Macaca mulatta: one gene and its partner. The protein of the gene in region 1 interacts with the protein of each later gene in a pairwise test. Links are inferred from orthologs where the notes say so. Each region holds a gene or a part of one and is shown on either strand. Other genes may lie near its edges.

Region 1 (4,406 bases):
CCTGACCTCAAGAGATCTGCCCGCCTCGGCCTCTCAAAGTGCTGGGATTACACGTGTAAGCCACTGCATCCGGCATTGTCAAACTTTTTTTGTTCATATCACCCTCCTTAGGAGAAAACCCGAATTATTCTAAAATTGAATTTACATCAACTAAATTAATTTCAATTTAATTACATTTAATATCTCCCTAAAGGCAGAAACTAAATACTTAGGAATAAGATGGCTGATAGAGCTGGCTTTAGAAGACCACAATAGCTAAGATTTTTTTCCTCCCTGAAAAGCAGTTTTTTCCCCTGGGGAGTCATCATGAATCACTCCAACTGAGGACGGTTGTGCTTAGAGCAAGCAGCTGAGCCATAAACAAGTAAATGCACAAAATTATACCGGAAAGCCAAGAAGGCTACAAAGAAAAGAAGAGGGAGTGGCTGGGGAGGGGGGCGACTTGGCATCTGAATCATTGAGATCGGGAAAGAAGATAAGGAACAGTTTAAGCAAAAGGATTGTTTTCCCTGAGCTTTGGTTTCTTTTTTCTTTTTTTTTTCTATTTTAGAGACAGGGGTTCTCACTATGCTGCCCAGGCTGGTCTCAAACTCCTGGCCTCAAGCGATCCCCACACCTCAGTCTCCCAAAGTGCAGGATTACAGGCATGCGCCACCGGACCCAGTCTGAGCCTCAGTTTCCTCAGCTGTAAAATGGAAGTAATATCCTCCTCACCGTGCTTCATATACAACAAGCACTCAATAAGTGAGCCTTGTTATGATTATTATTATTTATTTTAATTTTACTTCTTTTTCTCAGACAGAGTCTCACTCTGCAGCCCAGGCTAGACTGCAGTGGTGTGATTTCGGCTCACTGCAGCCTCCGCCTCGTGGGTTCAAGCGATTCTCCCGCCTCAGCCTCCCGAGTCCCTGGGATTATAGGCGCCCGCCACCACGCCTGGCTAATTTTGGTTTTTTGTGTGTGTGGGTTTTTTTTTGTTTTGTTTTGTTTTTTGAGACGGTGTCTCGCTCTGTCGCCAGGGTGGAGTGCAGTGGCGCAATCTCAGCTCACTGCAACCTCCACCTCCCGGGTTCAAGCGATTCTCCTGCCTCAGCCTCCAATCTGTAGCTAGGACTACAGACGCGCACTACCACGCCCAGCTAATTTTTGTATTTTTAGTAGTGACGGGGTTTCGCCACGCTGGCCAAGCTGGTCTCGAACTCCTTACCTCAGGTGATCCGCCCGCCTCGATCTCCCAAAGTGAGGGGATTACAGGCTTGAGCCACCGCGCCCCGCCTATTTTAATTTTAAAGGTTAATAGGACCAGCACTGAAATCAGCCTCTGCCCCGCCAGCCCTGCTCTGGTACCAGCAGCGTTCAGCAGCACACACAGCCGCGTGCGCCTCCACCTCCGTCCGCAGGTGTCGTTGTGGGTGCCGCGGCTGGGCCTCTCTAGCGGCGACGGCGACACCGGAAGTCTCGTTTTCCACCCACTTCCGCTCTCTGGCCAGGCTTGGGCTGCGTGGAGAATACTTTTTGCGATGCCTACTGGAGACTTTGAGTGAGTCCGGGATCGCGGAGGGGGGCATGGGAAGCGGTTGGGGTGCTCTGGGCAGTATTATGGGGCCTGGGTGTGCCGAGGCTGCGGGGACCGGGCCTTGCTGACTTAATCTTCGCTTCCCACACATTTGTTTCCGCAGTTCGAAGCCCAGTTGGGCTGACCAGGTGGAGGAGGAGGGGGAGGACGGTAAGTGTACCCGGTCGCCCGGGGTAATCGCGGCCAGGCCCGAGCCGGGCGACTGACGCCTGCTTCCATCTCGCAGTCTGGCACCGTGTCCCCCGTCACGACCAGCCCCTGCCCCGCGCCATCCTCCTTGGGACCTGCCTGTTGCCAACTCCAGGTGTTCCCGGGCGGGTCCCTGTTCCTCCCATGTTACTGCCGAAGTCCTCCCAGCTGTTGCCTTACTCCAGGGAGGAAGTTGTAATCTCCCGTCTCCTGTTTGTCTACTGGCGCCTGGTTGGCTTCATGGCCTGGCACCCACCTTCCTACGAGGGATCCCCCATCTTTGCCACTCCAAGTCCCCACAGGGCTATCCCAGTGCGCTGCCTGGTCAGCCCTCTGCCCTTGGCCTGCCTTTCTCAGCTCTTGCTGTAGGCATCATCCCAAAGGCCCTTCCATCGCAGCTGGGGAGCTCCTGCCCTGGACCTGACCCCTCCTCCCCACGCTGCCTCTTGCAGACAAATGTGTCACCAGCGAGCTCCTCAAGGGGATCCCTCTGGCCACTGGCGACACCAGCCCAGAGCCAGAGCTACTGCCGGGAGGTGAGTGAGGACTGCCACTCCGTGTCCGGGTTGCCTCTCCCTCCAGCCCTGCCGCTCCTGATCCCCATGACCCAGGACTCAGTCCTTCTGTTTTTCCCCTTCTCCCAGCTCCACTGCCACCTCCCAAGGAAGTCATCAACGGAAACATAAAGACAGTGACAGAGTACAAGATAGATGAGGATGGCAAGAAGTTCAAGGTGAGGGTAGGGGGTCCCTTAGACCAGAAGGCGGCGGGGTGTGCTGAGGGGGTTGGTAAAGGAGATCCCCTAGTCCCAGAAGCCTGACCCTTCTCCCCTGCCATCCTCAGATTGTCCGCACCTTCAGGATTGAGACCCGGAAGGCTTCAAAGGCTGTTGCAAGGAGGAAGGTGAGGCGCTCCTTCCCCAGGGCTAACCCAGAGGAATTGGGAAACCGTGCTCCGGGACCTTTTTGTTAAGAGATGGGGCTTAACTCTTTTTTTTTTTTTTTTTTTTGAGACAGAGTGTCGCTCTGTCCCCCAGGCTGTAGTGCAGTGGCACGATCTCGACTCACTGCAACCTCCGCCTCCTGGGTTCAAGTGATTCTCCTGCCTCAGCCTCCTGAGTAGCTGGGATTACAGGCATGCGCCACCACGCCCAGCTGATTTTTGTACTTTTAGTAGAGACGGGGTTTTGCCATGTTGGCCAGGCTCGTCTCGAACTCCTGACCTCACGTTATCCACCTGCCTCGGCCTCCCAAAGTGTTGGGATTACAGCCGTGAGCCATCGCACCCAGCCGGGCTTAACTCTTTGTACCTATTTTGTTGAAGCTGAACTGAGGCCTGGAGTGCTTACACTCTCTTGGGACTCTGGAAAGTCCAGGGCATAGGAGTCGATGATAAATAGCGATTAAATGATAAATATCTAATAAAAGTTTGATGATAGATATCAAATTATATTAATAAATGTCAAATAAATTCCATTATAAATATCGAGTGAAAGTTAGATTCTTTTAATTTTTTTAAAGACACAGGGTCCAGTTCTGTTGCCCAGGTTGGAGTGCAGTGGCACGATCATAGCTTACTGCAGCCTTGAACTCCCAGGCTCAAGCCAACCTGGGATTACAGGTGTGCACTGCCACACCCGGCTAATTTTAATTATTTGTAGAGATGGGGTTTCACTATGTTGCCCAGGCTGGTCTCTAGCTCCTGGGCTTAAGAGATCCTCCCACCTTTGCCTCTCAAATTGCTGGGATTACAGGAGGGAGCCACCGGGCCCAGCCGGGGTTAGATTCTTGTTCCTCTTGGCCTGTCAGCCTGGAGGAACAGAGGCAGGAGGTGGTCGCAGCAGTTAGAAGCATTAGCAATAAATACACTTAGAACAGCTTGCTGTGCACTTAATTGTAACATACCCCATGGCAAACGCCTTGCAGGGAGTGTCTCTCTGATTCAGTCTCCTTAGGAGCCCAGGGAGGCAGGAAGCTTTTGTGGTTCCCGTTTGATAAGGGAGGAAGGGAGGAAGCTGAGGCTCAGGTTGTCTAGCTCAAGGGCCAGGAGGTCTGGGTAGACCCCTGCACATCCCTGAGTATCACGCCCTGGTGGGAGCTGGTCCGCCAGCCTGCACAGGCCCCAGGCTGTACAGCTGTCACCTGGAGCTTGGGCCTGGCGTGTACTCAGGAAATGGGAACTGTCGCCAGGACTATTTGGGGAGTGGTTGAGGAGGATGAAAATGGGGTTCGAGGCCCAGGTACTCTGGGGATGGCTGCTGTAGGTCTAGGGTATCCCACTGTGGAACCCTGCCTGCCCCTGCCCTCAACTGTCCCCCATCCCCCCCTGAGCCCAGAACTGGAAGAAGTTCGGGAACTCGGAGTTTGACCCCCCGGGACCCAATGTGGCCACCACCACCGTCAGTGATGACGTCTCTATGACGTTCATCACCAGCAAAGAGGTGAGCAGGGCGATCGGGGGGGCTGGCGTGCTGGGGTGGGGCACAGGGGGTGCCTCAGCCGCCTCTGAGCTCCCACAACCCGCCCCTGCCAGGACCTGAACTGCCAGGAGGAGGAGGACCCCATGAACAAACTCAAGGGCCAGAAGATCGTGTCTTGCCGCATCTGCAAGGGCGACCACTGGACCACCCGCTGCCCCTACA
Region 2 (4,397 bases), on another chromosome or scaffold:
TGGCCGTGGGGCTCCATGGAAAGCAGTTCCCAGCGCCCGTGCAGGAAGTGGAGGGGCCATGCTGTGGGCAGGCATGGGTGAAGGTGCAGCCTCTCCCCAATCTACCTCACTCGCTCCTCTTTCACCCGGGGCTGGGTCGGCCTTGCTGGGTGAGGAGCTGTCGGCAGGGCAGCTGGCATCAGCGCCCACTGCCTGCTCCTCAGTGCAGAGCATGCTGTGGGTGCATCCGCCCCTGTAGCCGCAGAAGGGCCGTGGCTCTGAAGCAGCCCGCTGATGGGGATGGCAGAAGGGGCGGGCAGGCAGCCTGGTGAGGGCACAGCTGGTGCCTGGGGTGTTACCAGAGCACAGGGACACCCACAGGCAGAGAGGCAGAGGAGAAACCAGTTCCAGGCTGCGGGGAGGTCTCCAGAACATGACCTGCACCCTTCCCTCCACCTGCCCGGCCTGTAGAGTTGCTCCGACCTGGGAAGCCCTCCATTCTGCCTCCCTCTCCAGCCTTGGAAGGACGCACCCACTGGGAGCCGGCGCTGGCCCTGGCGTGTGGGTCCTGGGCTCCTCCTCGCACCATCCTTCCCTGCCTCTGGTCTGGGATTTTGGAGTCTGTCCGGGCCCTGAATGCTGGGGCTTCCTGGCTCAGGGCTGCTGGTTCCCAAGGTCCAGGCTGCGGCGGGGGCCGCGAGGATGCAGCTGCTTGAATGTATTTTTTATGAAATTCCGTTAAAGCTCCTTCTCTTCATCTCTCCTGCCCACTGGTTTCTTTTGCTGCAGCTGAGCGTTCTCTTTATCCTCCGTTTTCGGTAACCACTTTGGCGGTTCTTTTAAAAGGAGGCGAAAACGCGGGCAGCGCCGGCAACGCTCCTCCCGGTCCCGCGGCAGGAGCGGCGGCAGTTCTTCCCCTCTTCTAGGTGCCCTCCTGTCACCCAGGGCAGACGCCGGGCGGTGGACCGGTCCGCGCCACTTCAGGGCCACTCGCAACAACCGACGGCCGCGAGTTGCCCGCGGGGCCCCTTTCTTAGGGCTGCCCCTCTGACCTGAAACTCGCTTCGACCATGTCCTCCTTCGAGCGGGAGAGGGTTGTGGCTGGCCCGGGTCCTGCAGCCCCTGCCTTCTCTACCTGGGTGAGGGGAACGGGGAAAGTGGTGCGACCAGGGCAGATGCTGTTCCTTCTCCCACCGGGTCCCCACCACGCCCTCTGCAGGCTCCTCCCACGCCGCGCAGCCCAGCGGCGTCTCCCGGCCCGGTGCACCTGAGCTCCGGGGAGGGCCGGGTGCGGAGCCACGCGCAAGATCGAGGATCCGGCAGGTCCGGCGTGGGCCCGGACAGGGCCGAGGCGCACCGGGTGAAGAGGTGACGAGCCGAGCGAGTTCCGCCTGCGGCTGAGTGGCAGCGTAGCAGGATGCCACGCGGGCGAGGTGGCTTCCGGGGCGGCCTGGAGGCCAGGGCAGTGCCCCGGGGGCTCGGCAGGTGGCGCCGGCGAGCCGGCCCTTCCCCGGCGCTGCGCGAGGAGATGAGCTCACGGCGGCCCCCGCAGCGCCGGACGCTGGTTGCGCGCTCCCAGCGGCCGAGCGGCCCCGGGCACGCGCGCGCGCGCCGCCGGCCCGACAGGTGGGTCCCGGCGCCCACGCCGCCTCTCCCGCCCGCGGGATCCTGCGCCGTGGGCTACGCAGTCGGCCCTGTGCTGCTGGAAGGGGCGTTCTGGGCACGGGGGGAGCGGTCGAGGGCTGGAGACCCTAAAGGCGCCTCCTATGGCCAGAGGGGAGCCTCCGGCGGGAGCCACCTCTCGGGGGCGCATCATCCTGCCCCCCACTGTAAGAGGAAAGCTCCATAATGGAGCTTAGGAATTAGGAGTCTCGAGTGAGTAAGGCCGGGTTACAGCCACTCGGGAGCCGGTCCCACCAGTCTGTCCCGGGGAGAAGCTGGCCCGGGTCTAGGGGGCGGACAGGGCGCCTGCGTTCCTACCTACGCAGGCCGGCCCCATCCGGGGGATGCAGCGGCGGGTGTTTAGACCGAAGGACTAGGCAAAAGCCAGAAAGGGAGGGTTGGGGAGAGGGCCTTGGAGCCCTGCTGGGGACAGAGTCGCACCGCTTGGAGTTCCCAGCCTGGCCTTCACCCGGCATCTTGCTGGGCCAGCAGCGTCAGGCCGGTTTATTTAAGCAACCGTAACGTCCGCCCGCACACACCCTGCCCCAGTCCACTCCTCCCTCCCGCTGGGACTGGAGGGTGGGCGCTTTCCTGCTTCAGCTTCTCGCTCTTGTGTAATCCCACAAGCAAGGGGTTTCTAAACTGAGCAGCAGGTGCCTGGCTGATGCCCAGTCCCCGCCAGAAGCCAAGCCTGGTGGGCCGTCAGCCAACCACCGCACGCCACGAACCGCCCTGGAGCCCCTGTCCGAGCGCCGTCAGCCCCGCCCAGGGTCTGCAGGACGGAACCCGCCCTGCGCTCCACACCTGAGGCCGCTCCCTTCGCCTCTTCTCTTCCCCAGGTGCTGTCCTTAGTCCCAGCCCAGTCAAGAGATACTGGGGCTGGCTAGTCATGGGAGAGCCCAGTAGAGAGGAGTATAAAATCCAGTCCTTTGATGCAGAGACCCAGCAGCTGCTGAAGACAGCACTCAAAGGTGAGCACGGGACCCCTTCCTGAGCTGGGGTCAGGAGCCACAGAGAAGGGCCCCTGTAGGCAGCACCAGAGGCTGAGCCTGGTGAATGCCTCCACCCCTCCTCTCATTCTCTGACGATAGGAATCGGCAACGTAATTCTTGAACTGGAGACAAGCTACATTGAGGCCATTATTTTGGAGTATGAATCAGTCACCTCTCAGACTGTAAAGACTTTTTAAAAAGTTTAACCATAGGGCTGGGCGCAGTGGCTCATGCCTGTAGTTCCAGCACTTTGGAAAGCCAAGGTGGGCAGATTGCTTGAGTCCAGGAGTTCAAGACCAGTCCGGGAAACATGGTGTAAACCCCATCTCTACAAAATAAAAAATTGGGCCGGGCGCGGTGGCTCAAGCCTGTAATCCCAGCACTTTGGGAGGCCGAGATGGGCGGATCACGAGGTCAGGAGATCGAGACCATCCTGGCTAACACTGTGAAACCCCGTCGCTACTTAAAAAAAAAAAATACAAAAAACTAGCCGGGCGAGGTGGCGGGCGCCTGTAGTCCCAGCTACTCGGGAGGCTGAGGCAGGAGAATGGCGTAAACCCGGGAGGCGGAGCTTGCAGTGAGCTGAGATCCGGCCACTGCGCTCCAGCCTGGGGGACAGAGCGAGACTCCGTCTCAAAAAAAAATAAATAAATAAAAAAAATAAAAAAAAAATTGAAAAATTAGCCGGTCATGGTGGCACGCACCTGTGGTCCCAGCTACTTAAAATGCTGAGGTGGGAGGATTGATTGAGCCTGGGGGGGTGAGGGTGCCATGAGCCATGATCCTGCCACTACATTCCAGCCTGGCTAACAAAGCAAGACCCTGTCTCAAGAACAACAACAAAAGGTTTAATCATAAAAAAAAGAACACAGCTCCTGCCCTTGAAGCGCTTACATTTGAATTGCTCGTTTCTGTGCTGCCATAGCCCCGTCTCTTGAATGCACAGCTGCGTGCTTTGAGACAGGTGGAGAATATTCCGTCTGCCAGAGGAGCTATAGTAATTGCCCTCGCCTGATGCCTTCCCGCTGTAACACGCAGGACAGAAGTTTGTCTTCAACTAATAATTAGCAGCACCCATCATGTGCCAAGCCGAGCCTGCTGGGAGGCCCTGTGTCTTATAAAAACACTATTTCTGGCCGGGCGCGGTGGCTCAAGCCTGTAATCCCAGCACTCTGGGAGGCTGAGACCGGCGGATCACGAGGTCAGGAGATCGAGACCATCCTGGCTAACACGGTAAAACCCCGTGTCTACTAAAAAAAATACAAAAAAAACTAGCCGGGCGAGGTGGTGGGCGCCTGTAGTCCCAGCTACTCGGGAGGCTGAGGCAGGAGAATGGCATAAACCCAGGAGGCGGAACTTGCAGTGAGCCGAGATCCGGCCACTGCGCTCCAGCCTGGGCAACAGAGGGAGACTCCGTCTCAAAAAAAAAAAAACAAACTTGTGAAACTGCTGTTGGAGGCATGTCCTGGTTAGTATTCCTTCCTCAACCTAGTGCCAGGAAAAGATGTGTTTCCTGAGAAACTACATTCTTACTTTGATTGGTTCCTACCAGCCACATAACCCCTCCCCATTTTCTCTGACTGGGCAACAGTCAGCAGACAGACAGGCTAAAGCTGTTTGTTTGTATGGTTACTGTCCTCTGTATGGTTTCTTTTCTCTTTTTTTTTTTTTTTTTTTTTTTTTTGAGGCGGAGTCTCGCTCTGTCGCCCAGGCTGGAGTGCAGTGGCGCGATCTCGGCTCACTGCAAGCTCCGCCTCCCGGGTA

What was found.
Region 2: the proteins of EIF3G (region 1) and MIF4GD interact in binary tests that used the Homo sapiens proteins (3 or more experiments, as listed by UniProt). The link is inferred for Macaca mulatta from reciprocal best matches to the Homo sapiens genes EIF3G and MIF4GD.

What each region holds. Positions count from the first base shown.
Region 1 is NC_133424.1:10,826,894-10,831,299, reverse strand, and holds the start of EIF3G (eukaryotic translation initiation factor 3 subunit G), read left to right. Parts: upstream 1-1,480; 5' UTR 1,481-1,520; coding exon 1,521-1,540; intron 1,541-1,679; coding exon 1,680-1,726; intron 1,727-2,217; coding exon 2,218-2,301; intron 2,302-2,409; coding exon 2,410-2,498; intron 2,499-2,608; coding exon 2,609-2,668; intron 2,669-4,100; coding exon 4,101-4,205; intron 4,206-4,297; coding exon 4,298-4,406. UniProt on the Homo sapiens protein: RNA-binding component of the eukaryotic translation initiation factor 3 (eIF-3) complex, which is required for several steps in the initiation of protein synthesis.
Region 2 is NC_133421.1:84,959,649-84,964,045, reverse strand, and holds the start of MIF4GD (MIF4G domain-containing protein), read left to right. Parts: upstream 1-1,556; 5' UTR 1,557-1,605; exon of another isoform or gene 1,606-1,854; intron 1,855-2,003; exon of another isoform or gene 2,004-2,159; intron 2,160-2,480; 5' UTR 2,481-2,530; coding exon 2,531-2,612; intron 2,613-3,558; coding exon 3,559-3,678; intron 3,679-4,397. UniProt on the Homo sapiens protein: Functions in replication-dependent translation of histone mRNAs which differ from other eukaryotic mRNAs in that they do not end with a poly-A tail but a stem-loop. May participate in circularizing those mRNAs specifically enhancing their translation.